Linked DNA regions of Struthio camelus. The protein of the gene in region 1 interacts with the protein of each later gene in a pairwise test. Links are inferred from orthologs where the notes say so. Each region holds a gene or a part of one and is shown on either strand. Other genes may lie near its edges.

Region 1 (7,355 bases):
ACTGTTCGAAAATGGCTACTTAGGTGATCTAGCCTGCTAAATCTTTTTCCACATGCCTCACAAGGGTAAGGGCGCTCTCCTGTATGACAGCGAAGGTGACGCTTTAAGTCTGCTTTTCTTTTCACCACATGTGTACAGAATGGGCACTTGAACCTCATCCTGGGCAGATCATCTGTGAGAAAATAATTTAAGACAAACTTTATAAGTCATAACAAGTCTAGTCATGTAATATTCTAGGAAAAGGTTATTCTAGTTATGAAAAGCAACACGAGCAAAATGGCAAGCCATTTTTATTTTTAAAAAATATTATTATAGGTCTTTTCAAATACAAAGATCTTGTATTTTCCTGTTAATTACACAGGAGCGCAATAAAAAAAATGGAGCGGTCCATTAGCTATTTTAAAATGGATTTTAAAAATCCAAAAAAACTAATGACTTATATTTGCAGGATCAAGCTGTGGAGACGCTAAAGGTTATGCATTCTGAAAGGCTAGTTTTAATAAACTAATACAGCTATCAAGACAAATTTAAGACAGACATTTCTGTCATTCATAATTATTAAAAAATAAGAGTTAAACTTTCCAAAGTTACATTTCTGGGCAATACAGACCAACTTTTGTCAATATACACTTTCTTAGCAATGTATATTTTCTTACTGACAGAACAGACGATTAACAGATGATTATGTACTTATACTTAGAGCATTAAAACCAACTCTTACCTTCAGCCCAGCTTCCCATGACACCTAGAATCGAGGGCATGCTCGTATACTGCTCGTCTGCTTTTGAAGACTTGGATTTGCCAGAAGAACGAGGTGATTCATGCTCTTGCTGTGATACAGCTAAACTCCTTGGTATCACATCAGACCCTTGACCGTACTGGTATCCCACGTGAGGAGATTCAACTTCTGTTTCAATCTGAACTTGCTCCTCAGATTGAGTAACGTGGCCAGCAGGCTCAGAAGCCCTGTCCTCAAGTTTGCTTGATTTATAGTGAGGAATGTCAGAAGATTGCTGCAGTCCTAGGTGCCTGGTTTTTTTAATGGAATCCTGCCTTTGGTCATGCTTGGACAGCTGTTGCTGTGCATTTCTTTGAGAAGTTGGATAGTAGTTGAAATTGCTCCAAGCACTTCCACCCATCATACATGTCCCTTGATCCGGATTTAAGTGAGAATGTGGGGGGCTGCTTTCTGCCCTCCAGCCAGCACCATATAAGCAGGAGCGGTCCACGCCATTTGAATTTACATCTTTGTCCGAAAGACTGAAGTAGCGGTCCTTTTCCTTCTCACTGATGTCCAGAGATGACTTAATGAATGTCTTACACACGCTGATAACATCGGTCATCTGAAGATAGCTAGCCGCTGACATGACTTCAATGACGTTCTGACCAGTAAGGGACAGTTTGCCTGAATACACAAAATCTAGAATAACTGTAAACGTATCAGGAGAAAATGCCTGGAAAGTAGCTGTTGTTGGCTGACTAGTCTCCTTTGAACTCTGTGAAAGGAGCATTTTGAAATAGCCACTGCTGGCAAACAGCACATTTCGATGTGCTTTGAAGACCTTTCCCTCAACCAAGATATTGCAGTCACAGAATAAGTCCTGCCTGCGCTGCTCATTTAGTTGTTGCAGGAGGTGAAACTGGTGGGAAGAAATCTCCATTCCAGAAAAGGTGAAATGAAGTGTTGCTCTAAAATAAAAACATAATTAAAGTCTTGAGTTCAGCATCCTACAACTCAGCCAAAGATACTGCACCAGTTTTACAGATATCTTTTAAAATAATCCTTCTTAAAATATATGTTTTTAAATAACAATATGCATAACCATACATTCTATTTTGAAAAGAAAAGACTGCAAAAATAGAAAAAGCCACATAAACCCATACACGTTATTTGGCAGAGATGCGTGTGCTACAGCTAGGAGCATCTACTTCCTAAGGATGTGTGCAACTCGCTGGAAGCTGTACAACCTTCAGACAGTCAGCAACAAGACGACGAGCCCTTCAGCAGTTGCGAGTGTCTCGGTTGAAGAGTGTGTCCATGCCTTGAGTTGACGTTATCACATCGCCCTGGTCCGGCTGGGCTCATATCCTCGCCTCCGAAGGGACCAGAAATGGGTAGTCAGCGGCGGAGCCCTCAGCAGCCGCAGCCCTCCCGGCCCGGGCTCCCCCAGCATTGGTAGCGGTCGCCGTCACTCACCCGCCCGCCCGGCCGAATTGGTCGCTCGACCCTCGGGAGCCCGGGACGCCCGGCGGCGCAAGGCCCGCCCGCCAAGGCGCCTCGGCACCGCCTGGCTGCGCGGGCTGCCGCCCCCGGTCCTGCTGCCGCCGCCGCCGCTTGCCGCGGGGAGCGCAGCGTCAGCGCCCGCCAGGGCTCCGGGCGGCTGCGCGCGCCCACCGGGACACCGCGCCAGGCGCGCCGGGGCCGCAGCCGGAGCGACCGCGGAGCCGCTCGCGTTGCCGGAGCCGCGGTTCCCGCTCCCCCGGCCCCGCGGGGGCTCCGCCGCGCGGCGGCAGCCCGGCGCCTGGCGCCCGGCGTGGCCCCAGCAGCTCCTGCCGCCGCTGCCCGCCGCCTCCGCCGCGCCGGCAGCGCCCTGCCCGCCCCCTGCCGCGGCCCCTCTCGCCCCACACCCGCTGCCCAGCTCCCGCTCCCGCGCAGCCCTTTGTTGCCGTGCCTGGCTCCTCGCAGCCGCGCCCGGGGCTGCAAATGGCGCCCGCTTAGGTCTCTCCCAGCGCTGTGCAGCCCGGGTAACGAGCGGCTCCGAGCGGCGGCGGGGAGCGCGCCGGCCGCCCAGCGGGGACTGCGGAGCCGAGGGACGTCCCTCGCCGCCCCTCGCAGCAGGCTCGCTCTGGGGCCCTTTCCGCCCCCAAATCCCAACGCCCTGTCTGGCCTGCCGGCGTGCGAGAGCCGCCACTTACCGGCTGGGTTCTGCGGGTGGCTGCTGCCGCCGCCGCTGCCGCTTCGCCGAGAGGAGCAGGCGGTGGATGCGGGATCCCCGGCCCCCGCGTCGGGGCTCTTTGCGGTTTAAGGCAATGTGTTGGTCCCGCAGCCCCAAACCCTGGAAGCCCGAACGTGAGAGAAACAAAAGGTATTTGCTGACGTGGGCGTTGGACAGAGACGCCCGAGGGCTGGGGACACAATTAAAGGGGCAACGCACCGATTGCAGGCACAGCCCAGCAGCTTCCTCTGCCTGATCGCCCTGCAGTCTGGGCTGCTTCCCTCCTCTCACACCCACATGCTACCCAAGAGGGGATGTGATGCCCTAGATGTTTCCTTCTCACACCTTTATCTATAGCAGGGGCCTTGATGACCCAAATCCTTCCTTCATATGCCTGCGGCTTCCTCAAGAGGAGATGTAGTGTTCCTCTGTTTTTGCATGTCTCCGTTATCTTCTGAAGAAACCATAATATCTGAAATCCTTCCACCCAAGCCTCTCACCTTGTCTCACTTGAAGTTTGGAATCTTTCTCTTTCCTGTTCTTACCACCAGGGTATTTTCTGTGCTCTGACACCCCAGATATTTCTCATAAATACTTCTTCTCCCATGGGAGCCGTTCTGCCTTAACCATATCCTTTGTGTCCTTTTTAGCCCTCCCTTCCATAAACTTAAGACATTCCATCTTGAAACAATTTAAGTTCCTTTTCCCCACTGTGGGGAAAAGGGAAAGTTATCTACAGACTCTTTCCTCTCATAGTCAAAAACATTCTCTCAGGATATCCTATAAATTTAGTCATACCCAATTTATATCCATATATGTTGTAACAATATTTATTGTCAACTTAATTCACCCTTTTTAATAACCTTCCCTCGTTTTGTGGATTCCATCTCCTTTCAAACTTTAATATGCAGGCCGCATTCTTAAATCTTTCATAAGACCTGCCAGTTTAAATTAATCATTCTTGAACATAAAAGTGATCAGAGCTTGAACAGTATTTGACATGACACTGTTCAGGGCCCTGGACAATGATATTAATTCTCCGACAACTGAAAACATTTGAATCTGCTGTATCCTACAGCTGACCAGCCTTTTCCAGCCATGTCACAATACTACTTCATAATCATCGTGTGATCAGTGGATACATCTCTCTAGTCTTCGGTTGTGTCCAGTAGCTTGTAATATGTATTCTTCTATCTAAAGTCATACTTTTTGCATTTTGTACTGTTAAATTTTCCACATTTCTGTCAGTGCAGTCCAAAAAGACTTTAATCTGTAAATTCCTGTAAATTCCATTTTGCGTGGTATTGACAATTCCTTAGAATTTGTATCATCTGCAAATGTCATAAGATTGTATTGTACTTTTACATCAAAGTCTAAATAATGTATTAGCTGAACTGATTCCAAAGCTGGTCCAGGGGACCATTAGTAACTCTCTTCCTCCTCATCACTCCCCTTTCAGGGTAACTCAGCATAACCCCAGTTCCCAACTTCTTCCAGTTCTTACATTATTCAGTGGTGCATACCTGCACGTTGAATACTCTGTACAGTCCAGGTGTCACTCATCTCAAAGAGGATACACAGGAGCCTGAAAAGGGAAAGAGAAATGATAAAAGGTCTGGAACAGCTTTGTGCAAATGTCTATGCTGTGTGGAATCTCCAAACCAGAAAAAAATTGAGGCAGATGAGGTAAGATGAAAGTCTATAAAATCACAAGTGGTTCCTCAGATAACTTGTAGTTAGACACTGGAATTTCTTGCCACAGGCTGTTGTGGACACGAAAAGTTGGAGTGTTATGTGGGATACTGGACCAGCTCATGAGAGAGACCTGATATTTGCTCACAGAAATGTCCTGTATCTCAGGAAATCCCCGAGTCATAAACCTCCTACAGTTAAAAGTCAGGTAAAAGTATTGCTGTATGCTTGCCATATTCTTCCACAGAGCAACTGCTTTTGACTGCTATTGTAAACAGGATAGTGGGTTAGATGAGCTGGTACAGCTGTCCTTTGGTTAATTCTCATACACTGCTATCCCTGAATTTACAGAACCACTGGAAACTGGCTACTAGCTACTACTAACTTGCAATTAGCTGTGCTTATTCTTTCTAAATTGTGCTCAGTCCGGTGGAGTTTGTCAGTTCCACTGTCGGTTCCCTTTCCTCTCCCTCAGTCTCGGCAAAGCAAGCAGGATAGGTTTTACTTACATCTCAGATACTGTTGTGCCCTGTCCCAGTTCTTAGGCAATATTCTTATCATTGCTGTCATACATATTAAAATCTTTTTAGAAAATAAGGCAAAATGTTCTCATGGTATTTGGTCTATGCTTTGTTAGTCTTAAACGTCATCCATCCTAGTTGTCAGATGGCTATGGGGCTGGCATTATCTAACTGATTTCTCCCAAAGAAGCAAAAGGAATTTGGACAAGAAAGGAAAGAGGCTGTAGCCATAAGCAAACAGACAGAAAAAGGAAAGACAGGACAAAACAATCTTTCACATTTTATTCATACTGCGTTCACTCATAACGCATACGATATTCCTTTCTGCAAGCCACAGAAGACCTTATCATGTCATGCCTGAAAGTTGTGGACATGTCGTGTGTGCATTGGCCTCTTCTCATGCCAACTTTATAATTTTTCAGCCTTGGATGAAGTTTATTTGTATCCCAGTAAATACTACATACAAACTACTGTGAGATTTGTTTAGTATGTGCTTTGCTTTTCTCCAGTGTGCCTTTGCAGACATGTTGTATTTGCGTTTGCTTTAGTCTGTGGCAGCAGATGTTTCTTGTCAAGGCTGGAGAATACCAGAATCAAACACCATGTCTTTGGTCATGATTCCTTTCTGCACTGAAATAAGTTGAATTTAGAGTGGCTCTCCTGGCATGTAACACATTTACCTGTAGTCCAAAGCAAGTCAATACAGGCAATGAGAGAAACCGCCACTGCAATGAATTATATAAACAGGAGGAGCCAAGTTGGCTCCTCTGCGTCAGGAAAAAGTCCAGCTGTAAGAATGGTGAAGGAACCATCAAGTTTCTACCACTGCTGACTGTCTTTCAGGACAAATGAACGTCTTTGCAAATTGGCTGAACAACACTTTTTGACCTTAAGTAGTTCATAGTAATTTCCTTTAGATCTCTAAACAGTGAATTCACCTGATTTTAGACATGTTAGTTACAGAAATAAACAAATATGCACTTCTACCCCTTTTATTTGAAAGGAGTAAAAATGAGGAATATCTATTAAAAGCCCTCCTAATAGTCACAGTCTTCGATTCTGTTGTACAGCTACTGGTAAATCCTATTTAGAAAGTGTCTCTAAGTGCTGGTATTTCAGCAAGCAAATATTGTGAAAATTTGCTTGTTTCTGTAGGTAGCAGCACAAAGGGTAGCAATATGGCGTATCCCTATTATCTGCTTTTGAGTGGCCAGTTTGAATAACAAGATACCCTCTTACAGATGGCTTTATTCCAAGGGTAAATTTCTGTCAACATTTAAGTTGTGAGACATCTAGCAATGTCACTAAAGTCAGGAGTAAGTTAAATTTAGAGTCTGTCAATCCAGATAATCCTTCCATAAACAAAACTCCATCTTCAACAAATATATTTATTTTCAATTTTTAGGATATTAATGAGCAGTTAGCAAGTTTTCTTTGAACGTAGTCTTTTTTTCCTAGTCTTCTGTACATCTCACCGCTATGCAAATTGTTCTGCCAACGCAGATCACTGTCTCTTTGATACTTGCTGATTTCTATGGAGATTTATGCACAAGCACAGAGGTTGACCACGCTAAACAGAGTTGAGTCCTTGGACCTTAAGTCTTTTCCATACTATCCACAAAAAAAGCATTGTATGTGTTACAGGAACTTAGCAATGCTGTGTGAGAATACTAAGATTAAACTCTGTCAGAAACAAAAACCGGAACCTGTAGTAGTATACTTAAATTTATTATAAATCTTTAAACAAGATTTTTTATTTGCAGTACTAGACTTTTATAGTGCTTGAATTCATTCCTCTAAAGTTTGATAGTGCCTGCAAATTCAACTAAGTAGCACCTCTTTTTATGTAACAACCTACACATTTTTTCAAATCCATGCCCAAGATATTTCATCTGCTGAAAACTTCCTTCTGAAACAAACTATTTGTGGGCATATGTTGTTCTATGTCACTTAGCTGAGGTTTCAGATAATTTGTACTCTCGCTTGTAAGAGCTGAGCATGGCAGTTTGTACCAATAGCAGTGGGAGCTGAAGGGTTCTCCATCTATTAGGATCAGACTAACAGAATTTAAAAAGTAGAAAAAATGCAGCAAGATCTAGAGTAGTTTCAATCAGAATTTCCACAGAGGTTGCAAGTGCTTTGCTCAGAGTACTTCAATAACCTTGCCCAGGCTCTACTGACTGCTGCTAGGAGCAGCCATGGAACT
Region 2 (7,335 bases), on another chromosome or scaffold:
CAGCTCCCCGCGTGCGTGTGCGTCCACGTCACCAAGCTGTGCAGGCACTGAGGGCTGGAGGTGATGAGGTCGACTGTTCGGAAGGGAGAAGCAGCGCACACGCGGTCAGTATTCGGGCTGGCAAACCGCACGCTCCGCTACACGGAGGGACACGGCTACAGATCAGGTCTGTCCCCAAGGCCACCCAGCGGCTGCACTGGATTTCCTAGCTTTCTGACAGGATGTCAGAAGGGAGATGAGAGACCCACTGAAACCCTGCAGCCAGGAAAGGGTTTTCCATGGACTGGGGTGGGGGCAGTTGAAGTAATTGGACTGTCGCTGTCTAATCTTACAGCTGAAAGTCTATTTCTGGTTGCCCCATAGTGTTTGAGAGCGGCTGGGACAGGCTCTCTCCCTGCCTGGTGCTAGAGAGGATCCTCCTGCAGAGCGCGAGAGGAGGGAGACCTCACGCAGCAAGGAGGATACAGAAGCGTAACCAACGGAACCGGTGCACACGCAGGCACGGCTGTGCTGAAGGACACAGAAACCGTCTGGCCAGCTGGTAGTTTCTGAACGTCCGTAAAAAACAAACCCTTTGCTGAGGGTATTGCAGAAAGAAATGGAAACCAGCTCGTGTGAGCAGCTACTCACCCAGACAGGAGGCACCTCCTTCTGCACCAGGCTCGGCCTGGGCAACGCTGCTCCTGCAAAACCAGAACAGCACAGGCAGCATTTCAGGGGTTACAGAGGGAACACGTCTCGCTGGAGACAGCACAGTGACAACACTGAACGTGACAGCAGTGTTTGGTTAGTTGGAAGCCGCGTTCACCCATTAACTTTTCAGCTACTAAAAATACATCTTGTCCCAGGAATTTGGCGCCCGGAAATTCCACGGGGAAGTTAACATATACAAACGCGTGACAATTTACTACTCCAAAAAACAACCGGGAACAGAAAAAGGCAACGTACTTTCCTTTTGACTTTATATGGCCCGTAGGAGACGCGTTCACCCTCTGAATAAACGTCCTGAGGACGCTGCGGCATTTGTAGAACTGGGCATGGCATTTCTTGCAGACAAACTGGGGGAGCGCAGGGTCCTGTCGTACCGCGACTCCGACCAGCCGCTGGAAGTCCGTGAAGAACACCTGATCCACGCGGCGCTGCTTCTCCGAGTTCTCTCCCATCACAGGAACCTTTCCGAAAGCATTGCGCAGGCTCCGGGAAGAAAACTTCCCATGGCAGAGGCGACAATATCCAGTGCTCAGGGCTCTGCCAATTCCTAGGAGAGAAGGTTTGAACACAATTGCTCAGTGCCTGCTGCAAGAGCACTACAGCCAGCTACGGCCCCGAGGCACCAGCACGCTGGAAGACGTTACCCTTCCTTTGATCCCAGTCAGCAGGCTGCCTCAGAAGCCCTGGCTTCAGCAAAAGGCAGGGGCGCACAGAAAGGCAGCGCAGGATGGGACCTTCTCTGCGACTGAAGCCAGTCGCCTGCTGAACAGAGGCAGCACACCATAAATTGACTGGGCTATACCCAAAAAGCAGCAAGGTTCCTGGCCGGTACCCCAGGGAGGCTGTTCCAGCCTCGATTGCCCTAATGGAGGAATCTCCTCCCGGTTTCCAGCTGCGACGTTTTCAGGGTTCACTTACACACGTTTGTGCTTTTGCCAACAGTGTCCTTCAGCTTACGTAGTTGTTCTCCTTCCCCAGCGTTTATCTCCAGTGTATTTATAGACAGTGGTCACGTCCATCAGCCTCTGCTCTGCGAGTGTGAGCCACCCAAGCTCCTAACAGCCTCTTCCAAGACACGCTATTTCTCAGCGCCCTAACGGTCCCTGTCCAAGTCCGTCCCAGCAGCCTGGGAGCAGGGTATCGAGCCGGAGACCTGCTTGTTGAGCTGCGGGGACAAGAGCGAGGCGGCCTGCAGACAGCAAAGAGCAAGGCCCGGGAGGAGGCAGCAGGGCAGGATGCAAAGCACGTGCCTTCTCACTAAGGGTTCGCTGACCCGCGTGCCGCTCCTCCCGCCTGCGACCCAGCCGGCTGCTCTCCCGCTCCCCAGCACCGCTCCTGCCCTGCGCATCTTCCACAGCCTGCTGCGTCCGTCCTCAGCCACCGCCCGGCTCCTCCGCGAAGAGCCCGGCTTTATCTCCCCAACGCAGTCTCTTCCAGGGCCTGATACAACACAGCTGCGCTTTAAACCCCATCGGAAAACAAGCAGCCAACTGACTCTGGTCCCCCTGCGCGCCTGCTCCGAGGGCCAGGCGGCAGCAGGTTCCCGAGGGGCCAGAGCCCCCGGGCGGCTCGGCCGCGCGGGGTCCGGCACGCACAGCCCTCGCCGAGCGCCGCCAGCAGCGCCCGCCTTCAGAGCCTCGCGGGTTCCCCTCGCGCCCTGGGCGGGAGGGACGCGGCCCCCCCGGCCGGTCCGGATAGCGGCGCCAGGGGCGCAAAGCCCCCGGCCCCGGGGCAGCGGCGGGAGGTGGGGAAGGCCGGCGAGCGTCCGGGCGAACTCACGAAGGCTTCGGAGGGCTGAAAAGCTCGATTCTAGGGCGAGCTCTGGCAGGGGGGACGCCGACTCGCTCCGCGGCGGACAGCCGGCACCTCCCGCCGTTGCGGGATGCTGTTATGCAGGCGCTGGCCTCCCCACGGGTGTCCTCGCGACGCTCACCCGCCGGGCCCGCCGCAGACGGACGGACGGACGGACGGACGGGGCGCAGAGGCCTGGCTGCCCTCAGGCTTTCGGTCGGCCCGTTCTCCAGAACCGGAAGGTTTCCGCCCGCCGCCCCCTTTACCGCCCCACGCAGCCGTAGCTGCCTCAGGGCCCCCAGAGCGAAAACCGCCCCGGCCGGGGGGCGGCGGGCCGGGACCGCACCGCTCCGCACCGCTCCGCCGGGGCCGAGCACAAAGCGGCGGCGGCGGCGGCGGCGGCGGCGGCGGCGGCGGCGGCGCTGCCCCCCCCCCCCCGCGCCGGGCCCGGGGAACGGGAGCGACCGCCGCTCCGCCGGGGCACCGGACCCCGCGGCCTCGCCCCGGGCCTCACCTGCCTCCGCGGCGCCGCCCAGAGCGGCGGGCCGAGCCCAAGCGGCCGCCGGAACCGGGGCCGGAACCGGGGCCGGGGCCCACCCCGCGGGCGGCTCGGGCCGCGCCGGGGAGCCGCGGGCCGCCGTGCCGGAGCGCCGTCGGGGCTCGGCCGGAGTCGCGCCGGGGCCGCCCGCGGCCGCCAGGAACCGGCCGCGCCGATCCCGCTTCATCGCCGCCGCCGCCGGCCCGGCCCGGTCCTCCGCCGCCGCCGCAGCGCCCCCTGCCGCCGGGAGGAGCCGCCGCACCGGGCCGCGAGCCGGCGGGGGGCGGCCGTGCCCGCCGCGCCGCTGCCGCCGCTGCCGCCGCCGCCGGTTCCGGTTCCGGCTCCGGTTGGGGCGGGGCGGGGGCGGCACGTGGCGCGGCGGCGGCGGCGGCGGCGGCGCGGTCCGGCGGCCTCAGCGCTCCGGGCGGCCGCCGCGGTGCCCGCCCCGCCCGTTCCCCCCCGGCGCCGCGGCCCGCGCGCACCGTTCCGGGCTGCGGCCGCCATGGCGGCGGGCGGCGGCGCCGGGACCGGGCCCGGGAGCGGGGCTGGGACCGGGCCGGACCGCGCCCTGCAGGCCGCCATGAAGCTGGCGAACGGTGCCCTGGAGCTGGACAGCGGCGGCCGCCCGCGGGTGAGCACCGGGCCGGGCCGGGCCCCCTCCCGCCGCCGGGGGGACAACGGGCCCGGCCCCTCCGGGACCCCTTGTCGTCCCCCCCCCGTCGTGCCCTGGGGACCCCTCGTCCCCTCCCGGCCCCCCCCCGTCGTGCCCTGGGGACCCCTCGTCCCCTCTGCTTGCTCCCCCCCGTCGTGCCCTGGGGACCCCTCGTCCCCTCCCGGCCCCCCCTGTCGTGCCCTGGGGACCCCTCGTCCCCTCCCGGCCCCCCCTGTCGTGCCCTGGGGACCCCTCGTCCCCTCCCGGCCCCCCCCCGTCGTGCCCTGGGGACCCCTCGTCCCCTCCTGGCCCCCCCCCGTCGTGCCCTGGGGACCCCTCGTCCCCTCCTGGCCCCCCCCCGTCGTGCCCTGGGGACCCCTCGTCCCCTCTGCCCCCCCCGTCGTGCCCTGGGGACCCCTCGTCCCCTCCCGGCCCCCCCCGCGTCGTGCCCTGGGGACCCCTCGTTCCCTCTGCCCCCCCCGTCGTGCCCTGGGGACCCCTCGTCCCCTCTGCTTGCTCCCCCCCCGCGTCGTGCCCTGGGGACCCCTCGTCCCCTCCTGGCCCCCCCCGTCGTGCCCTGGGGACCCCTCGTCCCCTCTGTCCCCCCCGTCGTGCCCTGGGGACCCCTCGTCCCCTCTGTCCCCCCCGTCGTGCCCTGGGGACCCCTCGTCCCCTCTGCCCCCCCCGCGTCGTGCCCTGGGGACCCGTCGTCCCCTCCTGGCCCCCCCCCGTCGTGCCCTGGGGACCCCTCGTCCCCTCTGGGACCCCCCCAGTGCCCGCTCTCCCTGGCCCGGTGGCCCGGAGAACCCCCCCCACCTGCTTTGGGACCCCCTCAGCCCCTGTGTCAGCCCCCCACCCCCAGCTCCTGGGCCCCACTTCGGGCCCCCCCCATGGACGCCCTGCGGTCCCCGAGCCCGGGGGGGGGGGTTATTCCCTTTGCCCCCACCCCCTGGAAACGGGGCGGGTGTGAGGCCGGGCTGGAGGGGGTCGCGGTGCCCCCCGGGCCGTGGCAGGGGACCGGGTCCGGCTCAGCAGCCCTCTCCGGCAGGAGGCCTACGCGGAGTATCTGCGGAGCATCAGCTTCATCGCCCAGGCCCTGCAGGAGGACGCGGCGGCCGGCACAGGTGCGGGCGGCCTCCGCGACACCCCCTGCCCCGGCCGGAGCCCGGGGGTCCCCGCCGGGCTCCCCAGGCCGGCGCGTGGCAGCAGGGCGCTCGCCGGCCCTGTGGAGCGGCTCCTTGTTCGGGCAGCTGCTTGCAGGAAAGACGCTTCCGTTGCAGCGGAAGAAGCGCTGCCTTGGCGGGGGGCTGCCGGGACCCCCTCGCCCCCGGGCGGGCGTGCGGAGGCGTCCCCCGCCCCGGTGCCATCGGAGCGGTGCCCAGGGCCCTGGGGACCGCGGCCGCTCTGCCCACACGGCATCCTCCGTGCAGACGGCAGCGAGGGCCTGGCGCCCGACACCCCGAAGATGCTGAAGCTCGCGGAGCAGTGCCTGGAGAGAGTCAAGTCCATCGCGGCCGCGCTCGGTGAGCGATGCTGTCCCTGCGGCGGCGGGGCGCAGCGCAGCGAGCGGGGCTCGCGCGCCCTGACCGTCCTCCCCTCCCCAGGGACAGCCAAGGCCAAACCTGCCGCCCAGGAGAGGAGCACGGGCCCCGCGCCCGTCTCCCGGCACCGCAGGGTCTTCTCGGACGAGGGGGGCAAGCTCTCTCCTTTCCTGCCGCCGGAGATCTTCCAGAAGCTGCAGATCGCCGAAGCTCAGCGCGCCAGGAAGTACGTGGGCCATCGGCAGGGCGGTGACGTGGGGGGCCGAGGCCTGGCGGCCCCCAGCGTTCGGGTGCGGAGGGACGGCGTCCGGTCCTCGGCAGGGTGCTGGGCGCCTGTGCTGAGCGCCCAAGGGCCCCGTGGCGCGCGCCCGCCGTTTGCGTACCTCCCGGCCGCCCCGGGAAGGCGCTCAGGGCTCGTTGCCGGCAGGGAGCTGACGCCGCTGGAGGAGGCGTCTCTGCAGAACCAGAAGCTGAAGGCTGCCTACGAGGCCCGGGTGGCGCGGCTGAACCCCCGCCAGGCCCTGCAGAAGACCTCCCTGGCAAGTGGGGAGCGCCGAGGGCTGGGGCTCTGCACGGGCTGGGCACGGAGCCGGGCAGCTCCCAACCCCCCCAGTCCCTCCCCGGGGCCTCGGCCAGAGTCGCGTCGGGTGTTGCAGGGCCCAAGCGGCCCTGGAGAGGCCCTGGCCCTGCTGGGGTGGCTCTGGGCCTGGGAAGGGAAAGGGCTCCTGCAGCGGCAGGGAGGTGGGGCGGGAGCATGCAGGCGCGATGGACCCCGGGCTGGGCTGGGAGGGAGCAGAGGGTCCCGCGAGGTGCCTGGGAGTTCCCCGAGCTGCCTGCCTGTCCGCATGCTCCCGCTGTGGCACGGGTGGCCGTGGGCTTTTGGCAGGCGTCACCAACACGCGCTCTGCTCCGCAGACGCTGTCCCTCCAGCGGCAGATGATGGAGAACCTGGTGATCGCCAAGGCCCGGGAGGAGACCGTATCCTTCCCGTTCGAAGAGCTCTGAGCGTGGGCCGTGCGGCTCTGCTGGGCCCCTGCTCTGCAGGGAGCATCGATGCAGCCAGGCCGGAGCAGCCCCGAGCCTGCGGGCAGCCCCAGCGCCTCTGGGCCTGCGCGTAGCCCGGGTTTCGTAGCCCCGTGCGCTGCTGCGGACACCTGTGCCTCGTCCCTGGGCTGCGCTGATCCAAAACGCGCTTTTGGGATCTGCTGTTACGGGCTGCCTTGGGGGGAAACGGGGTGGGAGAAGGGCAGATCCTGGCTCCTGCCCGGTAGGAGGCGGTGGCTGAGCCTGGACAAGCAGAGGCTGGAAGGCTCCTGCCCAGCTCTCCCCGGGCCGGCGTGGGGGTCCCGCAGGGGCTCCAGCCATGCTCGCCATGGTGGCGGGCCGTCAGGGACCCCCGGGCCGCGGGAGGAGACGCCGGGGCTGGCCGTGCGGGGTGGCGGGCGAGCGGGCTGGCCCCGTGCCGTGGTGGCGGCGGTGGCACGCAGGTGGCTCTGGAGCCTTGACTCTGCCGTGGCCCAGCTGCAGCGGAAAATGGAGGAGCGGCGGCTGCGGCTGCAGGAGGCTGCCAACAGGTGAGCGGGGCCGGGGCGTCGCGGCAGGGGGACCCCGCAGGCGCAGGGACCTCGTGTCCCTGTGCCTGGAGGGGGGTGCTGGTGGCGCCGCCCAGCAGACCCCCGCTGCCCACCGCCGCTGCTGCCCGGGCAGGAGGTTCTCCGGCAGCGTGGCCCTCACCCCCGAGGAGCAGGAGCAGAGAGCCCTCTACGCCGCCGTCCTCGAGTACGAGCAGGACCACGTGAGTGCGCTCCGGGGGCTGCTGCCTCCGGCCCCACTGGCCCGGGAAGCCTTATCCTGGGGGTGGGATGCTGCCTGGGGGGGCAGGATGCCCTTGCCTGGGGAAGGGATGCCTGGCCCTGGCAGCAGGACGCCTACTGTCCCCGTGTGCTGCTGGGGGCAGGATGCCTGCCGTCCCCGGGTCCGGGGGGAGCAGGACGCGGTGCCGTCCCGGCCCCGGGGTCCCGTCTCATCCGCCCGCGGGCGCTCTCCCAGGACTGGCCGCGGCAGTGGAAGGCCAAGCTGAAGCGGAGCCCGGCGGATCTCTC

What was found. The genes of interacting proteins can lie anywhere in the genome.
Region 2: the proteins of zinc finger and BTB domain-containing protein 8A (region 1) and ZNF276 interact in binary tests that used the Homo sapiens proteins (3 or more experiments, as listed by UniProt). The two-hybrid records come from large-scale screens. The link is inferred for Struthio camelus from reciprocal best matches to the Homo sapiens genes ZBTB8A and ZNF276.

What each region holds. Positions count from the first base shown.
Region 1 is NC_090964.1:8,489,830-8,497,184, forward strand, and holds the start of zinc finger and BTB domain-containing protein 8A, read right to left. Parts: upstream 3,146-7,355; 5' UTR 2,917-3,145; intron 2,855-2,916; exon of another isoform or gene 2,673-2,854; intron 2,107-2,672; exon of another isoform or gene 2,095-2,106; 5' UTR 1,926-2,094; coding exon 1,885-1,925; intron 1,690-1,884; coding exon 722-1,689; intron 173-721; coding exon 3-172; intron 1-2. UniProt on the Homo sapiens protein: May be involved in transcriptional regulation.
Region 2 is NC_090951.1:1,870,152-1,877,486, forward strand, and holds the start of ZNF276 (zinc finger protein 276), read right to left. Parts: upstream 3,228-7,335; coding exon 3,017-3,227; intron 2,690-3,016; exon of another isoform or gene 2,491-2,689; intron 2,058-2,490; exon of another isoform or gene 1,630-2,057; intron 1,259-1,629; coding exon 949-1,258; intron 684-948; coding exon 631-683; intron 74-630; coding exon 1-73. Other genes in the region: VPS9D1 (VPS9 domain-containing protein 1), read left to right, coding at 3,543-3,671, 4,741-4,816, 5,123-5,215, 5,297-5,459, 5,661-5,772, 6,149-6,211, 6,755-6,807, 6,941-7,028 and 1 more. UniProt on the Homo sapiens protein: May be involved in transcriptional regulation.